2 linked regions of the Canis lupus familiaris genome follow. The protein of the gene in region 2 purifies or fractionates together with the protein of the main gene of each other region. This does not show direct contact. Links are inferred from orthologs where the notes say so. Each region holds a gene or a part of one and is shown on either strand. Other genes may lie near its edges.

What was found.
Region 1: the proteins of histone H1.4-like (region 2) and LARP7 purify together in Homo sapiens (affinity purification with mass spectrometry; 3 studies listed by BioGRID and IntAct, with this or other methods). This does not show direct contact. The link is inferred for Canis lupus familiaris from reciprocal best matches to the Homo sapiens genes H1-4 and LARP7.

The regions. Positions count from the first base shown.
Region 1 is NC_049253.1:7,460,921-7,472,657, reverse strand, and holds the start of LARP7 (la-related protein 7), read left to right. Parts: upstream 1-4,104; 5' UTR 4,105-4,282; intron 4,283-4,455; exon of another isoform or gene 4,456-4,664; intron 4,665-9,277; 5' UTR 9,278-9,279; coding exon 9,280-9,478; intron 9,479-9,927; coding exon 9,928-10,028; intron 10,029-10,099; coding exon 10,100-10,183; intron 10,184-10,335; coding exon 10,336-10,500; intron 10,501-10,589; coding exon 10,590-10,683; intron 10,684-10,758; coding exon 10,759-11,109; intron 11,110-11,185; coding exon 11,186-11,330; intron 11,331-11,369; exon of another isoform or gene 11,370-11,437; intron 11,438-11,497; exon of another isoform or gene 11,498-11,567; intron 11,568-11,674; exon of another isoform or gene 11,675-11,737. Other genes in the region: protein ZGRF1, read right to left, coding at 922-942. UniProt on the Homo sapiens protein: RNA-binding protein that specifically binds distinct small nuclear RNA (snRNAs) and regulates their processing and function.
Region 2 is NC_049256.1:25,569,851-25,580,880, forward strand, and holds histone H1.4-like, read left to right. Parts: upstream 1-3,972; 5' UTR 3,973-4,029; coding exon 4,030-4,677; 3' UTR 4,678-5,487; downstream 5,488-11,030. Other genes in the region: H4C4 (H4 clustered histone 4), read right to left, coding at 1-152; histone H2B type 1-M, read left to right, coding at 5,532-5,912. UniProt on the Homo sapiens protein: Histone H1 protein binds to linker DNA between nucleosomes forming the macromolecular structure known as the chromatin fiber. Histones H1 are necessary for the condensation of nucleosome chains into higher-order structured fibers.

The sequences.
Region 1 (11,737 bases), on a different chromosome or scaffold from region 2:
GTACATTCAAGCTCCATGTTGGACATAGAGCTTACATTAAATAAATAACAAAACATCAATTTCAAAAAACAAAACTCGGTAGTAAAAGAAAAAACAGGGTAGAAAGGACACATAAAATTTAAGGAGAAAACTGAAAACTAAACAAAAAAAATAATTTGGGGCTTCTCGGTCATCAGTGGGAAGGAAAAAATCTGTTGGGTTACACATAGTCATAATCTATACTCAAAATGTAGTCCAGAGACTCCTAGAGATTTCCAAGACTTTTTTCAGGGGTCTTAAGGTCAAAACTATTTTCTTGATGCTATTTGTCTTTTTACTCTCATTTCTTTGGGAATGCATAGTCATCTCCCAGGGTTATGTAGGTGCAATGTTGCAAGATTCAATTTCAGACTGAATGCAGGGGTGGATCTAAGAATTTAGCTGTGTTCTATGAAATCAAATGCTAAGGGGATTTGCAAAAAAATGTATATAGCAATGCTACTCTTTTCAGTGTGTTTTTTTCTGTTGTTGTTTTGGAAAATATAGCTATTTCCATTTAAAAAGTGATTTATGTTCAATATAACAGGCTATTTTTAATGAATTAACAAATACTTTTTATATTTGTTATAATTTCTCATATGAAAGACATCAATAGATATAAGCCCCATAATCAAAATTCTCTGGGGTAATATTTTGAGTATGGGGATCCCTGGGTGGCTCAGCGGTTTAGCGCCACCTTCAGCCCAGGGCATGATCCTGGAGACCCGGAAATGAGTCAGCCCTGTATGGAGCCTGCTTCTCCCTCTGCCTGTGTCTCTGCCTTTCTCTCTCTCTCTCTCTCTCTCTGTCTCATGAATAAATAAAATCTTTAAAAAAAATTTTTTTAAATAGAGGATTAAAAAAAGAAATAAAGGAAATAGTGAAAACTGGTATACAACTCACAATAAATTCCTGGCTTTCCATTATTTCTTCTAAAATTATAAATCAGTCTGGTCCAGAATATAGTCGTGGTTATTCAATTATTTATATGATCTAAAATGAAAATAGACAAGAAATATCCAACTCTGATGAAAATAATATCAAATTCAACTGTTTCCTATAAACTCTTTTTTTTCCCCATAAACTCTTGACATGAGAAAGGAATAAGAATTCTAAGACTGGGGATCCCTGGGTGGCGCAGCGGTTTGGCGCCTGCCTTTGGCCCAGGGCGCGATCCTGGAGACCCGGGATCGAATCCCATGTCGGGCTCCTGGTGCATGGAGCCTGCTTCTCCCTCTGCCTGTGTCTCTGCCTCTATCTCTCTCTCTCTGTGACTATCATGAATAAATAAATAAAATATTAAAAAAAAAAAAAAAAGAATTCTAAGACTATGTGACTACCAAGGGAAACCCAGGTGTAATCAAATTATCTGATACTAAGCACACAATAAAAAAGTGACCCCATCCTGTGGAAAATGAATTTGCCAAGTAAAGAGAAAACTAAGTAAAATATATGAAATAATTAGCAGTGTGCAAAGCTCTTTTCCAAGTGCCCTAACATGCATCAGAAAATGATCCCTCTTCCCCCAACATTTAAATTCCTTATGGAAAGAGCTTCAACTTCCCATTTTCTGAAATGCCACGGCCACCACAAGACAGCCCCCCTTGTGTTTTGAATTTTTCCTTTTATGTCTTTAAGTCAATACATCACAGTATCCAAGGACCTAATACACAAATTTCCTGTGTGAGGAACATTCTTTTCAGTATCATTGCAACAAGTACTGTATTTATCCTATGCTACTAGATAAAACTGTTATTGTGGGCAAATTTGGAAATCTAAATCTACTGTTGGTGAACTGAAGAAGTAAACAGAGATCCCAAAGAAAAAAAAAATTTTCTAAAGAAGTGGTTTCAAAGATAGGATTCCTGGACCAATAGCATCAGGACCACCTGGTAACTAGTTAGAAATTCAAGTTCTTGGGTCCTACACCTGACCTTTTAAATCAGAAAGTCTGAGGTTGGACCCATACTTTGTTTTAATATGCTCTGAAGGTGTTAGTGATACATGCTCAAGTTTGAGAACACAGGGCTAAAAGACCTAGGAGAGATTCAATAAAACCATAATTTACAATTCTGGATTCAATTCCCCCTTCATACATATACCACATACATATTATGTATAAATTACATATATTTATTTAGTACTTGCCAGACACCTAGGTTGAGGTACTAAAATGAACAAATACAATTCCTAATCAAGGCATTCTCAGTAAAGCATGTTGATAAACAGTATTTACAATAAAACATGACAGAAATAAGCATAGGAGGGGCACCCAAATGGGTCTATGGAATCAAATAAGGCTTCCCCCTAAGAATGTAATGTCTAAGCTGTAAACTGAAATAACCATAACCAAAAGAAGATGCCAGGAATGTATTTCCAAAAAGGAATCAATGTATAAGGTCCTGTGAAAGACACACCAAGGCATGACCAAGGAATTCAGTTCAATTAAGGGGTCAAGTTAAGACAATGAATAGTGAGTGAGAGAGAAGATTGAAAAAAATGAGCAATAGGAGTCAGAGGGCCTTCTATGCTATGCCAAGTTGTTTGAATTTTCTATAAAGGGAGTGCAAATGGTAGGGTTTTAAGAATAAGATTACATAATCTAACTTGGGTTTTACAAAGATCGCTCTGGTTGCTGATAGGAGGCATAAGGGAGGGTAGCCCTGGTGGCGCAGCGGTTTAGCGCTGCCTGCAGCCTGGGGTGTGATCCTGGAGACCTGGGGTCGAGTCCCACGTTGGGCTCCCTGCAAGGGGCTTGCTTCTCCCTCTGCCTGCATCTCTGCCTCTCTCTCTGTGTGCTCTCATGAATAAATAAATAAAATCTTTAAAAAATAAAATACTAAAATCTTTAGAAGAGGCCTAAGTCCTACGTTCAAAGGAGTAAAAAAAAAAAAAAACAAAGGAGTTAAAATACCGTTTACCGTTAAATAGTTGAAATGGTATCAGCTAACAACATGGCATTTAAGTGAAAAGTAAAAACAAAAAAGAAAAAAAGAAAAAATCTGGGGACGCCTGAGTGGTTCAGCCCTTGAGTAGACCTCGGCCTCCCGCTCAGGGCGTGATCCCGGATCCAGTCCCGCGTCGGGCTCCCTGCATGGAGCCTGCTTCTCCCTCTGCCCGTGTCTCTCTCTGCCTCTCTCTCTCTCTCTCTCTCTGTGTGTGTCTCTCATGAATAAATAAATAAAATCTTTAAGAAAAATTTTTTTTCTAAAAATCATCTACGTCAAATGTTGACCCACCTCCAACGGGTAAAAGTTCAACGTGCAAAGTTTTAAAAGCGGTAGGGATACCTCAGATGTCTGCAATAATTATATAACCACAGATGTGCACATTACCTCCCCAAAGACATTACCCATACGTCCCTATGCTGCTTTATACATTCATATATAAAATTCTGTGTTCTCCATAAAATATGAACCAGTCTTATTTATGTTTAAGTACGAGGAGATGTTTTTGGTCTTTTTATTTTGGAACAAGCAAGATCTTTAGAATCCCTAAATAGTTCAGATTTAAAAGTTCCAGAGTCTCAAACCCAGTATCCTGTTAAGAAGTCGCTCAGTCCAAATGACCCAGAGAAGCCCACATTTCATTGCCAAGATAATAATTACCATGATTCTGTGTAACCGAATGGCAGTGAGACTTGACCCTCTGTCAGGCCTAGATAAACACAAAGAGCAAAACTCTCTCTGGTCCTTACACTTATTGCCGGAAGTGCAACGCAGAGGCTGGAAAGGCTGTCACTCCCCACACCTGGTTCCAAACAGCACCAGCAACGGCTCGCTTCCGGCGCAATAGAGCCTCTCAACACTTTGCCCTAAATTGCGACGCCGCCTCTCGTTCACATCCCCTTTCCTATCCACCTTCACTCCCAGAGAAGCAGAGGACTTCACCGGTCCGTAAAACACACGTTCGAATTTCTCCCGCGGAAGGCTGTGACGTCATCAACCCGGGACCGCACGGGATCAGGACCCACTACTCAGCCCGCCCACAAGTACCGACGTTTGCAAACCGCCAATCAAAACTTCTCGTGGTCTGTGAGCCTCCTCGGCCAGCCGGGTAACCCGACGCCCCGCCCCTTGCGCCAGCTCACGCCCGTGACGCAAGCGCCGGGCGCGCCGTCTCCGTCCTCGCGCTCGCCTTTTCGGAGGCGTACGGGAGAACCGTGTCGCCCACCCTATGACGCGGAAACCAGCTCTATAAGGATCTGGAGACGGAAAGGTTGGAGGACGAAATCACCGGCCCAGTATTTTGGGAACTGGACAGAGTAAGTTGGAAGTAAACTGTAGATCGTGTCGCTCAGGTTGAGTGAGGCTTCAAGTCTTCTAAGTCCTTTGTCACGCGCTCCATTCTATCATCTGTCGGCCCTTTCACTTCGTCCCCTCCCACAAGCCCATCGGTTTGCTCGTCCTGTTCCTCTGCGCACGCGCAAAGGTCCTTCAGCGGCCCTTGTAGTTCCAGTTTTCGGAGATTGGGGGCGCATATCGTCCGGCTTTAGGAGATCGGGGGCCCGCCCGGTATTGGGCAGCGTACTTGGGAAAGGACTGGTGTCGACGGGGGGCCGTAGCCAGAGGTGAAATCGCCGGGCCTCGTAGATGTGAGCGTTGGCGGCCAAACGATAGCGAGTGTGAGCACTTAAGTTTTTAAAGTTAAGTCACTTTCTTATTTTCGGGATTCTAGTTTTTGTCATCAGAGAATCGAAAAATCCAGTTACGGAAGGGAGCTAACAAATTATAAATGTCAGTGGAGTGTACTGAATGCGTTAATAAATGTGCTTGAGGGAAAATAGATGAGGAGGCAATAAATTAGGGGAGACGTGGTGGTGGAAAGCTGGAGAGAGTAAGATGCCATTTAACGTGGGCCTTGAAAATTGAATAGGAGTTTATAAGGCAAGTAAAGACAAGACTAATTGAAAGAACAGGCACGGTGTTCTGGTACCGTTGAATGGTCAGCCATGGTAGAACAATGACTTAACGTTTTTGACACCGTTTCCTCTAAAAATGGTAAAGGCTATGGATGAGCATCCTAGGAAGATGCATGCACGTCAAGACATTTTACGTATGATTTTGCTGGGAAATTGTGGAACACCTTGAAATGGCCAAGAAAAAAGATACTGGATGTCTTCTCTAGCTGGCTCTTCCAGGTTCTCTCTTTCATTATCATTGAGCTATTTTACATTTGTGTTAGTTGTAGGAAACGATTATAATGGAACTTAAGTCTTGTAGTTAATCAATTTTGTAGTTATGGCCCTAACCAGTTTTGCATCTATTAACAAATTCATTTCAGTGTTCCTGATTGCTTAGATCTTTTAATTCTCCTTTGAACTAGTTTTTTAATAGAATATTTTAAAATTTATTATTTATTTACTCTATTTTAAGTAGACCCCATGCCCAATATGGGCCTTGAACTCTCAACCCCGGGATTGAGTCGCGTGTTCTACTGACTGAGCCAGCCAAGTGTCCCCTCCAGAACTAGTTCTTTTGTTTTGTTTTTTTTTTTAAGATTTTATTTATTCATGAGAGACACGGTGAGAGAGGAAGAGACAGAGGGAGCAGGCTCCTTGCCGGGAGCCGAATGCGGGACTCCACCCCCAGACCCTGGATCACACCCTGAGCCAAAGGCAGAAGGCAGATGCTGAACCGTTGAGCCACCTAGGTGTCCCCTGAACTAGTTTTTTAACACTTAACTAATTCCTTGATTAATTTCACTAAAATAAAATATTTGATACGTATTCATTTTATGTTAATTTATATTTAAATTCCTTTGTTTAAAATTTCTCTTTTGGGGCACCTGGGTGGCTCAGCGGTTGAGCGTTTGCCTTTGGCTCAGGTGGTAACACCGGGTTCCTCAGAATGAGTCCCGGGTCGGTCTCCCCACAGGGAGTCTGCTTCTTCCTCTGCCTCTCTCTGTGTTTCTCATGAATAAATACATAAAATCTAAAATAATAATAATAATAAAATTTATCTTTCATCAATTTCACAGAATTCATAGGAATGTTTGAAACTCACCCAAAATTCCATAGACTTTAGGTTAAGAATATCTGGGTCAGAATACAGAATGTATCATGACAGGCTGTAAGAGGTTCTACTAAAAGGTGGGCAGTGTAAGGGAGTCAGACTTACCAGAGCTTGTTCACTTAACTGAGCATGTTTACCCAGCTGATTTTGGCCAATTCACTTAATTTTTAAGCCTCTGTAAAAAAGAATTTGAAAGGAACCACCTAATTGTGATTGTGAGGATTTAAAACAATATTTAAAGTAACTGGAATTGTTACACAGTACCTTTATTGTTTGTGTAAAAGCCCCTGTTTAGAAGCCAATTTGATGTCACTGATTCATCAACAATTTTTTAAACTTACATATTCTAAGAAGGTACTAAGGAATTTTTAATGTTGAAAAGTTTTAACATTAAAATTAAAAATTAGATCTGTGTTTTAGACAAGTTACACAGCTTATGAGGAGGATGAATGACTTCTAGAACGGTTTATAAATTGTTCCCATATTGTAGTGATACTCTTTGTGGAAAATATTGGAGGGAAATAAAAACCATTCCAGAAGTTAAATCGGTAGGACTTGGTGACAGATTGGTAAATGATAAAATAACGATAATGTTACATTTTGTCAAGTACGTGAGAAGGTAGACTCAGAGGATCAAGACTCACGAAAGTACTGCTATGTGACTTCTTGATTTTCATAGCCATTGCATTGGGAAGTGAAATTATACCATATCTTGTTACTTCTTGTATCTTTCTCTTATGTATGAAAATATATTTGATTATCTACAGGATATGTTTCTTAAGATCACAAATTACAGACAAATGTTAGGCACACTAGGCAAGAGTTTTAGAACTTAGTTTTTCAAGTCACGAAAGTAAACCTTAGAGGTCTCTGAGATGAGAGTGATGGAGAAAATCTGGTTTCGGGAAAAATTTGGACTTTCTGCATTTCTACAGTTCTGTCCACTATTTCCTTAGATAGTGGTTCTGACAAAAGGAATTGGAGAGCTGATAGTCTGTCCTTTACAATTTGGAGTTTTTGCAAAAGAGAAGGTTAGCATTGAATCCTCCTGTATTGATCATTTATAGCTTCTGTTTGTATTTTATTTATAATCCTACCCTTTTTTTTTAAGCCTGCCCCCTTTCAAAAGAACTTGAAATGCTAAACACTTTGTAATAGGAGGTCCTTTTAAATATAGTATTTAAGAAATGGTTGGATTGTGATTAAGCTTAAGTCTCTGCCTTTGTAGTTTTTGCATTCTAGTGGGGTAGACAGACAATAAAATTGTAATTCCAGGTAGCAACAAGAGGATACAAGGAAATAAAGTGGTAGGGTGCCTGGGTGGCTGCCTTTGGGTTGGGTTGTGGTCTCAGGGTCCTGGGATGGCCCCTGCCCTTATCAATGGGACTCCCTGCTTCCCCCTTGCTTGTGCTGTCTCTCATATTCTCTATCTCTAAATAAATAAAATCTTTTTTTTAAAGGATACAAAATTGTGGCAGATGGAATGGATAGGGTTAGGATTGGCAGAACAGAAATGTTTTTAGATTGAGTGAAAGGCCTCTTTGAGAAAGTGACATTTATAGAGACCTGAATGAACAGTGAAGTAATCCCTCCAGATGTGGGGAGGAGGGTGAAGAGAACAGCAAGAGCAAAGGACTTGGGGTGGGAATGGCCTTAGCATGTTTAAGGAATGGTATGTCATAGTTGGAGTGAGCCTGTTGGAAAGAATTGTAAGAAATGTAGTTAGATATCCCCAGGCCAGATCAAATAGTGCCAGGCAGGCCACAGTAAGGGCTTTGGATTTCGAGTATGATAAACCTTTGGAGGATTTTGTCCCAGAGATTGGCATGCTCTGATTTACATATTTAAATGATTGTTTTGGTTACTATCTGGAGAATTGATGGTAATTGATGAAAATGGAAGATAATGATTGATTGGAGAATTGATAATGGAAGAGTAGAAGCAAACACAAGTTACAGTGTTCTTGGAGGAGAGTAGGCAAGACATGATAGTGTGGACCAGGTGGTTGTGAAAATAGAAAGTATTCTTATTTAGGATATATTTTATAAAGTTAGAGCTAACATAAATGCTCCTAGATTTGTTGTGGCATATTAGGAAAAGAATTTCAGAATTTTACTCTCAGCAGTGTTATGATCAGTGTCTTCTGAGTTGGGAATACATGGCAAAAAAAATAGGTTTGAGTTGGGTTTTTGTTATTCTACATAAGAGAAACTCTTAAGATAAATAAGTGGAGATGTCAAATGAGCAATTGAGTGATGGAATGGGGGGCAGCAAATGGGAGAAGTCAGCTCTAGAAAATACAGATTTGTGAAACATCAGCATGGAGCTAAAAAGCTTAAAGCCAGAGACCCTCAGAAAGGATATGTGTGGAGATAAGATGGAAACCCAGGACTGAATAGCAAGTAAAGATAGAGCTAACTAGGATGGTCCAGTAAAGGAGATTAAGAAAACTCTCCTAGAAGCCAAATGAAGAAAAGGTTTTCAAGGAAGTTTAACTGCAGATGCCCCTGAGGGGTTCCAGTAGTCCATGGAGATCACGGGTTTCAATTCACTAGAATGGTGGAAAGAGAAGCCTGACAGAATGGGTTTAAGGGAGAATTTGGGTGAAAAATGGGATTACTCAGCACTAAATGACACTTGATTGGTTTTAACACTGGGATGGGAAAGGTCCCTTGGAAAAGAAAAACCCGCTTCTATAGCTTACCAGTTAAGTTCCGCTTCTAAACAGAAAAACAGTTAAGGGGCATCTGGCTGGCTCAGCCAGTAGAGCGTGGGAGTCTTGACCTGAGGGTTGTAAATTCAAGCCACATTTTGGATAAATTGCTGAAAAATAAGTTCTTTAAAAAAAATTTTTTTAAATAATCAGGAATAAATTATTTACTTGGAGTTTGAGATGGAGAATGTCTGAATCCCTTAATCTTACACTTTGACAGTTTGGATTAAAAGTGTAAAAGTTAAAGTGTAGTTTGGTGTAATACAGACATACTATATAGGAAGATAATCTGGCCCTGCAGTAAAAGTGCATCAAAAAGTAAAGCTAGGATTCAGAGGTAAAACAAGGAAAATGAAAAGTGACAATTAAGAGACTGAAGATGGGTCAAATGAAAATTTCCTTAACTGATTGCTAGGTGTTACCCCAAAGTTTGTCCTCTGCCAGCTGACAGTCTCTTAAGCTTTCGGACAATTAAAGGCTAATAATTATCTGAAAGTCTTCCTATATAAATTTACCTTTTTTCAATGAACAGGAATGGAAACTGAAGGTGGAAATCAAGAAAAGGCAATGGAAGAATGCACTGAAAAGAAAAAAGAAGTAGAAAAAAAGAAACGGTCACGAGTTAAACAAGTGCTGGCAGATATTGCTAAGCAAGTGGACTTCTGGTTTGGAGATGCAAATCTACACAAAGATAGATTTCTTCGAGAGCAAATAGAAAAGTCCAGAGACGGATGTAGGTTTATTTTACTGTACAACAAATGTTAACAATGTAGTATATATATTATGGTACACCACATATTATATACAGGATTAACTTTTATTTTCCCACGTAAAACCCTCATAAAGGACACGAATTTCCTTAAAGGACTTAGTGTAGGATGCAACAAATTCAGACCAAGATTTCAGTTACTTTGATAACATCCTAGTTTTTGTGGTGGAGCTCCTGGCAACTCAGGTAGACTCTTGACATCAGGGTCAATTTGAGCATTACTTTGGGCCTAGAAGTCCAGGGTTTTTCTTATGTGCTTACAGGTTTAATTCCTATGGGTTTTATGCATAAAGGCATTTTATTTACTCCAAAACCAAAACTTAGTTTAGGAGTGTGATTAATATTTTATCCAGAAGTCCTGGCTTGTTACTTTATTATATTCTGTAATGTATTAACTTTTGTATTTCTATTAGATGTTGATATATCACTTCTCGTGTCTTTCAACAAAATGAAAAAATTGACCACAGATGGAAAATTAATAGCCAGAGCACTAAAAAGCTCCTCTGTTGTAGAGGTAAGAATTGTTACACAATTTATTTTATCACATAATTATTAGTTTATTAACCTCATGTACCCATTTAAAAGCTGGACTTGGAAGGCACCAGAATCCGGAGGAAAAAGCCCCTGGGGGAACGACCAAAGGATGAGGATGAACGGACAGTGTATGTGGTAAGCCATTTTAAAAAAAAGCTCAGAGATAGTGATCACAGACAAAATTGACAGAAACACTTTAATATTACTAGTAAAAATTTATTAACCTTGAGGACTTGTAAAAATTTATTAACCTTGAGGACTTTACTATTGCTTCTAATTTATTGTAGGAATTACTTCCCAAAAATGTTAATCACAGCTGGATTGAAAGAGTATTTGGGAAATGTGGCAATGTTGTTTATATAAGCATACCACATTATAAATCTACTGGAGATCCAAAGGGATTTGCCTTTGTGGAATTTGAAACAAAAGAACAAGCAGCAAAAGCTATTGAGGTAGGTCCAGAACCTAAAAGGAAAAGCAAAAAAATTAGCGAGTACTTTTAGTGACAATTTAATTGGTTTTTAATTTATTGATTTTTCAGTTTCTCAACAACCCACCAGAAGAAGCACCAAGAAAACCTGGTGTATTTCCTAAGACAGTAAAAAATAAGCCCATTCCTGTCCTTAGAGTATCAGGTAATTTAATTCAATATTAATACTTAAGCATATGTAGTTGAAGGAAAATGAAAACTAATGATAGCATCGTTACAGAAGAAAAGAAAAAGAAGAAGAAGAAGAAAGGCCGAATGAAGAAGGAAGACAGTATCCAGACCAAAGAGTTAAATACGGACACAGATAAGGAGAGTGTTGCTAAAATGAAAAGATCGAGGACCACGTCTGAGGGATCAGAGGTAGAAATAACTGAACCCCAAAAGCCGCCCTCAAAGAAAAAGAAAAAACGGGAAAGACAAGAAGTATCCAGCCTACCTATAGTTAGAACAGGAAAGAGAAAGAGAAGTATTTCTGAAGAAGCAGAATCCCCAACTCCCAGGTCAAAAGTAAAGAAAGTGACTCAGAAAGACATTAAAAAAGAAGATTTAGAAGTTTCCAAAGAAAACAAAGGTATCAACAACATTTATCTTGAGCTTGTATAATCAAAGTTTTCTTAAACTTATGTCTTTCCTTTCTGGCATTTAAGATTTAGAAGTCTCTACTGAAGAGGAAAAGGATACTGGAGATGTGAAAGATGGATCCCTTTTAAAAGCAAAAAGGAAGCATAAGAAAAAACACAAAGAGAGGCACAAGATGGGAGAAGAAGTTATACCATTAAGAGTCCTTTCAAAGTAGGTAGACAATAGAGTTCTGGTGTAGATGGACACCCTCCATCACCATTGCTAAAGTGCAATTCCAATTTGTATTGAACAGAGTTGCATATTAGCAACAGTCATGGCATGTAGCCAAGATCTGCATAAATTATGGGATTAGGATGACTGAGGATTAAAAAGGAAACCACCACACTAAAACATGGAAGCACTTATTTTTATCATGTCACAGCAAGTGCCTCCATGTTAAAGTAGAGGGCGTTCCTTATAGACTCAAAAAAATACAGCGTAAGTATACCAGACAGGTAGTTCGGTGAGGCAGTCTTAAATATTTATAAACTTCTAAAATGTAAAAGTAAGACTTACCATCACTAAAACATGGAAGCACTTACTTTTTGAGTTTCAAAGCAAGTACATCCACGTTTAAG
Region 2 (11,030 bases):
ATGAGGCCCGAGATGCGCTTGACGCCGCCGCGCCGGGCCAGCCGCCGGATGGCGGGCTTGGTGATGCCCTGGATGTTGTCGCGCAGCACCTTGCGGTGGCGCTTGGCGCCGCCCTTGCCCAGCCCCTTCCCGCCCTTGCCGCGACCAGACATGACCACACCAGAACCTCCCGAGCCTGCACGGCACTACCGGCTGCCGCCACGCCGCACTTTTATAACAATGTGACGGACCTGTTTGAAAACCGCAAGCGCAGGGGCGGATCCACACTCCGTTCCCGCCCATCGCCCTTCTAGCCTTTGCTCAGACTGTGCAGACCCGGAAGGCCGGGCGCCCCAAGCGGAGTCTGTGCCGGGGGAAGGGGATTCCGTAAATCCTCTCGAGTATGTGATCCGTGCAATGGCCTTGCAGCACTTGCAGCCTCTATGCCGGCCACCCGCTATGCCGGGCACCAATGCATACGCTTTCCACAAAGACCTCGTCCTTCACATTTCCCAAACAAGGGCAGAAATATTTAGATCCTCCTCGCTGTTGTCCCTAGGAGAGGTTTTCAATAAAATTTGAAGCTAATCCTATCTGTATTGCTAAGATTCTGTTCGTGTTATCGACCGATGGGTGTCCGGTCCCTACGGAGGGCGGCTGGCTGGGATGCAGGCTGTCCGGTCCCTGCGGAGGGAACGGACAGAATCGCCTTAAACATTTCAAAGTCAAGTCAGGTTCCACACTGAAGGCTGCGCTGAGCATATGCCACAGTGAGGAGAGCCTGGTTCTGCTGTGAGTCTCCACTCTGCGACTTCAGTGTATACTTAGTTATGCACAGCTTACAGGTAGCGCGGTGTCCGCCTCCACGTTCTGGTGCTCCGGCCTTTGGCATGACCTAGAACGCGGCTCTGGACACAGCCTGCCGCCGTGCTACCTACAGGACCTCGGGCGGGCTATACTCGCTTCTTTTCCTTTCCAAATGTATAAGAAAGTCTAAGTCATAGAGCATTGAATTTTCAAAGGGAAAACCCATGTAAAGCGTTTACTATCCGCAAATATGCACTCACAAAATGATTATGATATATTATTGTGGATGTTTCTCTGCTCCTTCACTCACTATTCGCTCCTCGGAATAATGAGCCTAACAGAGCATCCTAGTTTCCTACAACTTTCTTTCCAGAACTCCTTAAAAATAATAAGCACTGAAAGATTGAATTCAGCACTAATCCGTTTGTGGAGTTCTAGTTGACTTTGTGGGGATTTGGCTTCTCCCCAAGGGTCTGTGAGGAGGACATAGTTCATTAAAGCTGATTTCTGAGTTTGTGGGCGGTGCATGGGAAAAATGCCCGACTTGTGTTCTTACTCTCTGATACAATGACAGGATTTAAGACATCTAGGAACTTGTATAGAACATAAGTCCATCTTTATCTGTACTATCCCTCAATTGAAGCTTAGCATTTCTTCCATTTACGAATATAGGCAGCAAACTTCGATGGGCGGGACCTGTCCTGTGTGCATGTCACCTAAACTGAAGCTCTCAGTGTTTTCAAGACCATTTAGACACTTTATTCCTTCTACACTGTGTTCATTCTTGCTCACAAGAGCTATCTTGTGACTCTAACGGATTAATAAAAAAACACATCTGTTAGGATGCCTAAGTGGTTGAGCATCTGCCTTTGGCTCATGGCCTGATGCCTGGGTCCTGGGATCTAGTCCCACATTGGGTTCCCGGCAGGGAGCCTGCTTCTCCCTCTGAATATGTATCTGCCTCTCTCTGTGTGTCTTTCACAAATAAATAAATAAAATCTTTAAAAAGAAACCACACACATCTGTTAACACTTTACAGTTTGGGGATTTGATAAAGGTATTGTAATATTAATTCTTTCCCATTATAATCCAATGTATATTCTCTTAAACTCTTAAAAACATTGTCCTGGCAAGGGGCCCATAAGCCTTATCAGATATATAAAGAAGCCCTTGACATGAACAAAGAAGGGTCAAAGGGATCTTCAGAGCCTTGAAAGACTCTGGGTTTTGAAAATGTGCACAGAGAAGCATTAGGAAATGACATGAATGTTGGCATGAAATGAATACGTAATAGTAACCTGATGGAGGTGTGTAAGGGTAAATGGCAATAATTTTCTCCTCTTAGCAACAGGAAAGAGATTATAGGGAGAGTGTAGTACAGTGGAGACAGGTGCAAAGGCAAATACCCACCAAGTGCCCAGAAATACAAGTTTGATATTTAGGCAAAAGGACCAATTTGAAGAGACAGTCTTCGAAGTTACTCACATTGACGTGACTCATAAGCCCATCCATGAAGGTGATAGGGGTAGTACCTTGGAGAGACTCCCTACACTGACATGTCCAAGAAACAGCTCTTCCTTGGTGGCACTGCGTCTCTTTGGGTATAATCTTGACTCTCCTATTTCTTGTATGGACTAAATACTGTCACAGCCTTATGACTCAATGTCTCTGCAATTCCTGGAGTATTAATTATCAAAGAATAATTATCAGATTATCAAAGAATAATCTTCAAATGAGTTTCAAAACCAACTATAATGAATCAAAACCACTTTTTTTCAAAACCACTTTAAAAGAATTAAGAATATGTAAGCTCTATAAAAAGTGAATACACAAAGTAAAAATTATTTATACTAAGCTGATATCTCACCCCTCTTTATCATGTTAATATTTAACCTATAGTGACATTAATTTTCATGTTTCACTTGGATTGACTGAAAGGAATAATCAGTCATTTCTTGATTTTGAGGGGATAATAAAGGAAAGTGAAACCTTCCCCCTCTTGAGCTTTGCTGTGTTTCCTTCTTTCACTGTCATAGTGGAACACAGATTGGTTCATGTTTCAAAATAAATATAATATGTTAAAGAGAAAAAAGGAATTTGTGAAGAAAATCACATTAAATCACTTCCTACCATAAACCTATTTCCCATTCAACAGTAAGCATAAGTTGTAATGTGATGCCTTCCATAAATGAAAAATATACTAGTGAATATAAAACACACTTTTAAAAAAGGTCCCCCTCTCAAGGGAATGCCATAAGTGTGTGCATGTCTGTGTGTGTTGTGCATGTATATAATCTTTGTTACTTTAATACCTTCCAAATTTCTCTTTCTCAAGAATGGCAGATTTCTATACCCAAACTTGTACACATTTTAGTAACTGATCTCTACCAAGAAAATCAATATAAGATAATATTTTCAACTAATAAAGGTACCCAACTTCTCTTATGCCACTTCTAAATCTCCTATCATCATCTAAAACAAACATAAGCCAAACAACCAGGTCAGCAGCATCATACTTGCTGCATTTCCCATTTTTCTAGACAAATATTGAATGCAGAAACCCCAAACTAACTCTGCAAATTGTTACTAGAAGCTATGATAAAGGTTTTACAGACAAAATAATGACCGTTCTTGTCAGAATTAGCAGTTCTTCCAAGAATCCTTTACTATCATTCTTGTAGAGAAATGGGGAGAGAGCCTGTGTTATTTCCCTTCATATGAAACAGGTTTTCTGGCTAAATCTCGATGAGAACTAAGCAGCTGTTGAACATATGAGAAGCCAAGAATGTATAGAATAACCCTAGAGAGCAAGTTATTGAAAGCACAAAGCGAAGAATTTATATTTTAAAGGAAAATCAAGAAGTTGTCTCTCTGACCTGTGAATCTCTCAGGGTGTCAGGGGCTTTTGAAAAGAGCTGAAACCCAGATGATGAAAACTGGAAGAAGAAAACACGAAGATGTCAAAGCATGAGGGGTCCCGCTTCGCTATAGAGTGTAATCAGCGTGATTCCTCCCCAGGAAATTTTAATTTTTTTGCTTTCCCCAACTGTAACAAACACAATTCCGGGACAGAGCTGACACCAGGCTGCTGTCAAGTTGGAGGACTGAGCTCGGAGCCAATCAGCGCGCGGCGTCCTTGTTGTATATATACACACGCACACACGCACGCCGAACCAAGCAGCTCAACTCCGAGACTCGATTAATATTATTTTTTCCTTTCATCTTCAGGAACCAAAACCCACTATGTCCGAGACCGCTCCTGCCGCGCCTCCAGCCCCGGCCCCCGCGGAGAAGACGCCGGTGAAGAAGAAGGCCCGCAAGTCCGCCGGCGCAGCCAAGCGCAAGGCGTCCGGGCCCCCGGTGTCCGAGCTCATCACCAAGGCGGTGGCCGCGTCCAAGGAGCGCAACGGCCTCTCCTTGGCCGCGCTCAAGAAGGCGCTGGCGGCCGCCGGCTACGACGTGGAGAAGAACAACAGCCGCATCAAGCTGGGCCTCAAGAGCCTGGTGAGCAAGGGGACCCTGGTGCAGACCAAGGGCACCGGCGCCTCGGGCTCCTTCAAGCTCAACAAGAAGGCGGCCTCCGGGGAGGCCAAGCCCAAGGCCAAGAAGGCGGGCGCGGCCAAGCCCAAGCGGGCGGCGGGGACGGCCAAGAAGCCCAAGAAGGCAGCGGGGACCGGCACCCCCAAGAAGAGCGCCAAGAAGACTCCGAAGAAGGCTAAGAAGCCCGCCGCGGCCACCGTCGCCAAGAAGGTGGCCAAGAGCCCCAAGAAGGCGAAGGCGGCCAAGCCCAAGAAGGCGGCCAAGAGTCCGGCCAAGACCAAAGCCCCGAAGCCCAAGGCAGCCAAGCCCAAGGCGGCCAAACCCAAGAAAGTGGCCGCCAAGAAGAAATAAGAATACAGAGTAGTTTAGGATCTTTTTAAAGGCTCTTTTCAGAGCCACCCAAACCTCTGAAAAGAGCTGCGGCACTCTGCGGGGAAGGGGGCGTGGCGGGAGGGGAGACTGGCGAGCCCGGAGCGGCACCTACAGGGGCGCCTGTTAAGTGCACACGGGCCTGGGGAGATTTCAAATGGGACAATGATTTCTCCTCTAGTCTGGTAAGTGCGCTGGTTCAACCTAAATTGGCCCGTAGTCCACACGGCGCAATAGGACTAATATACATAGGGGAGAAGTTACTTGCAAAACGAACTTTGAAACCGATTTGCCACTTAATAGAAAGTTCTCCAGCCACCGGGGATCTTTATACTGTATTGGTAGAAAACTATGAAGTATCTCGATGGTCTTTCCATTATCTTAATCATGGAATTGCGCCATCTCCTCAACAAGCACTTGCCCACCAGCTCCAATACCTAGGACGTCAGTTTGGCCACCAGTGGCCACCAGGCTTCCGCTGCGCAACACCCATCCTAGTGGAGGAAGTTTTCTAACAAAAGCTGTCCACACACACTTCTCCGTTACACTACCTCAAAGTTAAAATACATATTGGCGTTGAAGAAGACTTTATAGTAACCTTTGGTAGCCAAGTCTAGACCTTCTGATTGGGTCGAAGCACAGTAACGAGGCAGCCAATGAAACGCTAGAATTGCAAGTACCTTTTACATTCGTATTTGTGACGACACAGTAAAATTAATCCAATCGTAAATGATCTTACTAACCTCATTCGAATGCCTCCTCTATAAATAAACGGGGTCTTACGGTGGCTTATATTTTCCTCCCGCTTTACTGAACGTGTGGTATTCAAGGTCACTATGCCAGAACCCACCAAGTCCGCGCCGGCCCCGAAGAAGGGCTCCAAGAAGGCGGTGACCAAGGCGCAGAAGAAGGACGGCAAGAAGCGCAAGCGCAGCCGCAAGGAGAGCTACTCGGTGTACGTGTACAAGGTGCTGAAGCAGGTGCACCCCGACACGGGCATCTCGTCCAAGGCCATGGGCATCATGAACTCGTTCGTCAACGACATCTTCGAGCGCATCGCGGGCGAGGCGTCGCGCCTGGCGCATTACAACAAGCGCTCGACCATCACGTCCAGGGAGATCCAGACGGCCGTGCGCCTGCTGCTGCCCGGGGAGCTGGCCAAGCACGCCGTGTCCGAGGGCACCAAGGCCGTCACCAAGTACACCAGCTCCAAGTAAACGTGCCAAGTAAGCGTCTCCTTCCCAACCCCAAAGGCTCTTTTCAGAGCCACGCATGCTTTCAACAAATGAGCTATAATGCTTTCTAAAAACTATTCTCAAATGCACCCTAATCAAGTTTACTCTAAGATCGATACATCGCTACGGCTCTATAATTTTCTCTTAGGATTGCGTAGCAAGGATGCCACAATTCCCGGTCGATAACCATACCCATCATAAATTGAGCGCTCGCTATGCCCAAAACCGGTTCTGTACAACCATTATTCCTTAGTTTCACAACACTAAACCTCAATTTTAAATGAAAATGCCATTTCAAGTGTACAGCTCTCCTTCCTGTGCGCAGGCTCCAAATTCATCGTGACATTCAAGGACTTGGGTAAGAACGGTTTCCCCAGAGCACAAAGCATGCTGTAAAAACTGTTTTGCTCAGAGCTTTTCTTTTCCTTTTCAGCATATAGATATGCAATAATGAAAACGAGCTTAAGACAACATGAGTTTTCATGGAAATCTTACACAGGCTTTTCTGGCTTGCTAGCTTTGCAATAATGCCCATTTCTGCTGGTGGGGGAGGTAGGGTGGGGATCAGGGAGGAGGAGTCTGTGCTGTATCCTAAAGGCGCAGACAGACAGGAAAGGGAACCTGTCCTGACTTGGAAGGGCTTTCAAATCCTGTCAGCTACTATAGCTTCTCTCCTACAAAGTCCTATTGCATTGCCGGTCTTCTTCCAGCATCCTTAGCTGGGAAGACCCCAGGGTCACAAGAGAGAAGCCCACTACTCAATCCCATAAAGTGTCTGACTGGAGAGGCAAAAGTTACCCCAGGACTGAGGCCCCCTTTCCTCCCCTGGCCCCTTGCCCCGTGTCCCTGAGAGGCGAGGACTGAGAGGAGGTAGAAAGGGAAAGAAAGCCCTTCCCGGGAGGATGTGGCTTCTGCTGCACAAGGTCAGATGGCATAAAGGGTTTCTGCTGCTGCTGGGAATGGATTATTGTGGGGAAAAGAAATCTGGGGGAAAAAGCTGGGGAGCTGGGAGGAACTGGCCAGGGGGTAAGCAGTCAACAGTTGAGAGTTCACCCAAGAAAACGGATGAGATTATCTTTCCAGGTGTAGCTGACACACTCACCGGTTCCATCCTCAGGGTAGAAGGATGAACTAGAAATGAGCACACGACCAGACAGCACATGGGCACCCCCACACACCCACTCGCCCAGAAGATGGCAACAGTGTGTGCTCACCCTCCGTGCTGAGCAAGGTAGATTGTGCCACCCACAATTCCGACCACCACTCACTTGCTTCTGGCACTGACATCACAGGGATTCGGAATACCCAGGCTGAGGATTAACTCTGAGATCTCCCAAGCTGGCTTTGTACCCCTGAGCACCCGCTCAAGGCAAATACAAATCCTCTCTGAAGGAATAAGCTTCATTTTTGGTCTCAGCAAATCCTCCACACATAAGATAGCAAAGAAAATGAAAGAGCAGCTTCACAACCAAAATCAACACAGGATTCAACAAGACAATGTAACCAACAAGAAGAGAAGCACACAGTGGAAACAAAAGGAGTAAAAAGAAAATGAACAGATACAAACTTCAAGTTGCTAACTTGAATATCTTTAAAAAGGAAAAGGAAAACACTAAGTGAAATATGCTGAGGGATTAAGAATACAAAGAATTTTCCAAAAAGAGTCGAAAGAACCAAATACGACTTCCAGAAATGAAGGTGTGGATATACACGTTAATTTACATTAATCATATGAAAATTAAAATTAAAGGCTTGCTAAATGGACCAAAAAAATCAATAGGCTCCAGATGAAGAATTTTCATGAATTCTGTAAGCAGACCTTATTTATCCAAAATGCAGGGAGAGAAATGTAAAAGTGAGTTTAAGAGATCTGGAATTAGTAGTAAAATTGTCTGCCATGTATCTAATCATGGCACCACAAGAACAACCAGAGAGATTGATGCTGGTGTGAGCTTCCAATGATCATGGCTGAGAATTTTTCAGAGTTAATGGATTACTCATGTAACTCAAAATCAATAAAATAGGGTAAAACTCATACACCAAAACGGACGTCACTCTGTCACACTGTGAACCAAACCCCATAAATTCTCCCAACAAATGTAAAGCTAGTTTTCTAATCTGTTCTGCTAGATGGCAATAGACTGAAGCACTGTTATAAATTCCTGAGAGTGGGAGGATAATTGGCAAATAGATTATTTACATGCACTTGATATCTATCTGATTACCAAATTTTGCAAAACCTAATCAATATGTGATGATTTAATGGACTGTTACATATAGTACTATCATTAGCAGACCAGAAACTTTGATATTTTTTCCAATAACTATTTCTGTAACTATTTTTATCATGGTATTGTGTTAGTTAATGTCACACGCTATATGCCATGTTAAGGCATCACCGTCATTTTCTTCCTTTTCACTAAAGTGGCTTTAGTAGTTCCTGACTTGTTAAAAACCTGTTTGCTTGCATGCATGGATATGTATATAATCTGTGTGTGTTGGTTAGTTTCCTTCTAAATATATTTTTAAAGGTTTATTATGAATGATGTGTGAATTTTCGGTATTTGATGAAATCAAGGGCTTTTCCTCCTCTAGCCTGCTACAATAAATTACGAGTAGATTCCCTAATGCTACCCTATACTCGTATTCCAAGGCCAAATCTTCTTTGGTCATTTTCTATTAGTATCTTAAATACTGGCTGCGCACATTTTAGATTTCCGGGGGATTTTTCCTCCTCTCTACACACAAAAAATCATTCTGTGATTTTCCCTTTTCGGTTAACCTGTATCAGATTTGGTCAATAAGACTATGGTAACTTTGAACGCTTAATTGTGAGCCTCTCCTCCATCTGCTGCTAGGTAACAAACTACCCCAAAACTCAACAGCTTAAATCAATGAAATTTATTATTTATTTTTTGTGGGGGGCAGGGAGGGATCAGGAACCTAGAAGTGATTTCCTGGGAGGTTCTGGCCAGGATCTCTCATAAGGCTGAAGTCAAGATGCAAACACGCACAGCAGTCACCTGAAGCTTAACTGTGGGTTCCCTTCCAAGGTGGCTCACTCCCATGCCACCCAAGTTCCTGTGGGCTCTCAGCAGGAGGACCTCCGATTCTAGCCACATAGACCTGTCAGGACGGCTAACTGGCTCTCTTCCACAAAGACAAATCATAGAGAGAAGGGAGGAGGAATTTGTCACAGAGTCTCTATGACCTAGTTCCAAATGTTACACGCTGTCACTTCTGCCACTTTCTATTAATTAGAAACAAGTCACTTAAAAAATGGCGTATACCCAGAAGGGCAACTAGGCTCCACCTTTCAAGGGAAGGATAGCACATTTGTGAACATACTGCGAAACCAACACATTGTCTTCTTTATGCTTTAAATACTTGATTGTATAAAAGTATTTGTGCTTTAGACAGTAGACAGAAGTCAACTGTATAATCACTTGGACCTAATACTTTTCTAAGTGGTAGCTCTTTAAGAATTCCAGGAAATTGGGGGCATCTGGATTGCTCAGTTAAGCGACTGCCTTCAGCTCAGGTCATGATCCTAGGGTCCTGGGATGGAGCCCTGCATTGGGCTGCCTGCTCAGTGGGGGAGTCTGCTTCTCCCTCGGCCACTTCCCACTGCTGGTGCTCTCTCTGTCTCTGGTAAATAAATAAGTAAAATCTTAAAAAAAAAAAAAAAAAAAAAGGATTCCAGGAAATTAGACCATAATTGACCACTATCCATAAACACAAAATCCAATGAAACTCCCACATGATGCCCAGGTCGACTTTTCCCTAAGATTGTAAGGAACCAAACAGTGGTCTCTGCATTACATATAGTAGCACGTAGCAGGTACTTAGAGAAAATATTGAATGAATTCATCTGAAAACTCCTAAACAGCCATCTGTACAACAAGACTCTGGTTCATGAGGGTTATAAGAATGTCCAACAAAACTAATGGGTGTGGAGAAAACAAGTTAAAAGAGAAAACAAAATAAAAAGATAAAACCCCAGAAAATACTTTAACTTATGAAAATATAAGCAATTAACAATCTGGTAGGACCAATTAATAAATTTTGCAATTGGACAAGTTAAAGCTACATTAATAGACTTCAAAGGCAAAATTTGAGTTAATGATTGAGTCAGACTTAAAAATGACCTACAATGCTTCAAGTGTAAAGTAACAGATTAGGAGGTAGCAGAGGGACATGAAAGAAGAAACTAAAAGCATAGTTTAGTCAAGGCTTATAAGGAGACCCTTGACATGTGTCAAAATTCCCTACTAAATTGTACCATGGCAATCATTCCAAGTATTTCTTATAAATCCAGAGATAGTCATGGAAGCTCTTTGGGCACTAGAGATACAAAGAGAGATGAGGTTGTTCTTGTCCTTCTGGAGCGCTCAGGTTTGTAGGCGATCAAGGAAACCCACAGCTCATTGCTTGCTTCTTATTTATTTATTTTAATAATCATTTACTCACACCTAAAATGTTTATCACTCTTTAGAAATCTGCTGGCAGGTTTATGGCAACTACAGAACTCATTAAATTGATGCAAAATATTCATCCAAATATTTTAGTCATATTTAGAATAGAGTAATACTAATATCTTTGTGCTATAGTCCGAAGTCAAGGTATAGTCCCATAAGATTGCCCTCATGTCTGACATCAGCTGCAAACTTGATGGGTTTACCAAAACCATCCTCAGATTTAGTTATTCTTTAGATGATTCACAGAATTCACTAAAAGTTATTATACTCAAAGTTGGGGATTATTATAACAAAAGAATAGGTTAAGCCAAAGTAAGAAGCAGAAGAGCAGGGTCTCTGAGGGTTCCTAACTCGGAGCTTCTGTAGTCCTTGCCCTTTGGGGGAATAGGGAGAGTTACTGCCTCCCTGCAACACAACAATATTTTAACAACACAATACACATTGCCAACCAAGGGGCTTCATCACATACACATGGTTTACTGTCCACGTGGCTGATCTCTTACTCTGCAGTCCCTCTGGAAGTAGTCCAGACACCACATGGCCCAAAGCCCCCAACATAAAGGACATTATGTACAGTGTCCTGAACAGCCCAAGGCCTCTTTGTAAACAAAGGTATTCTTAT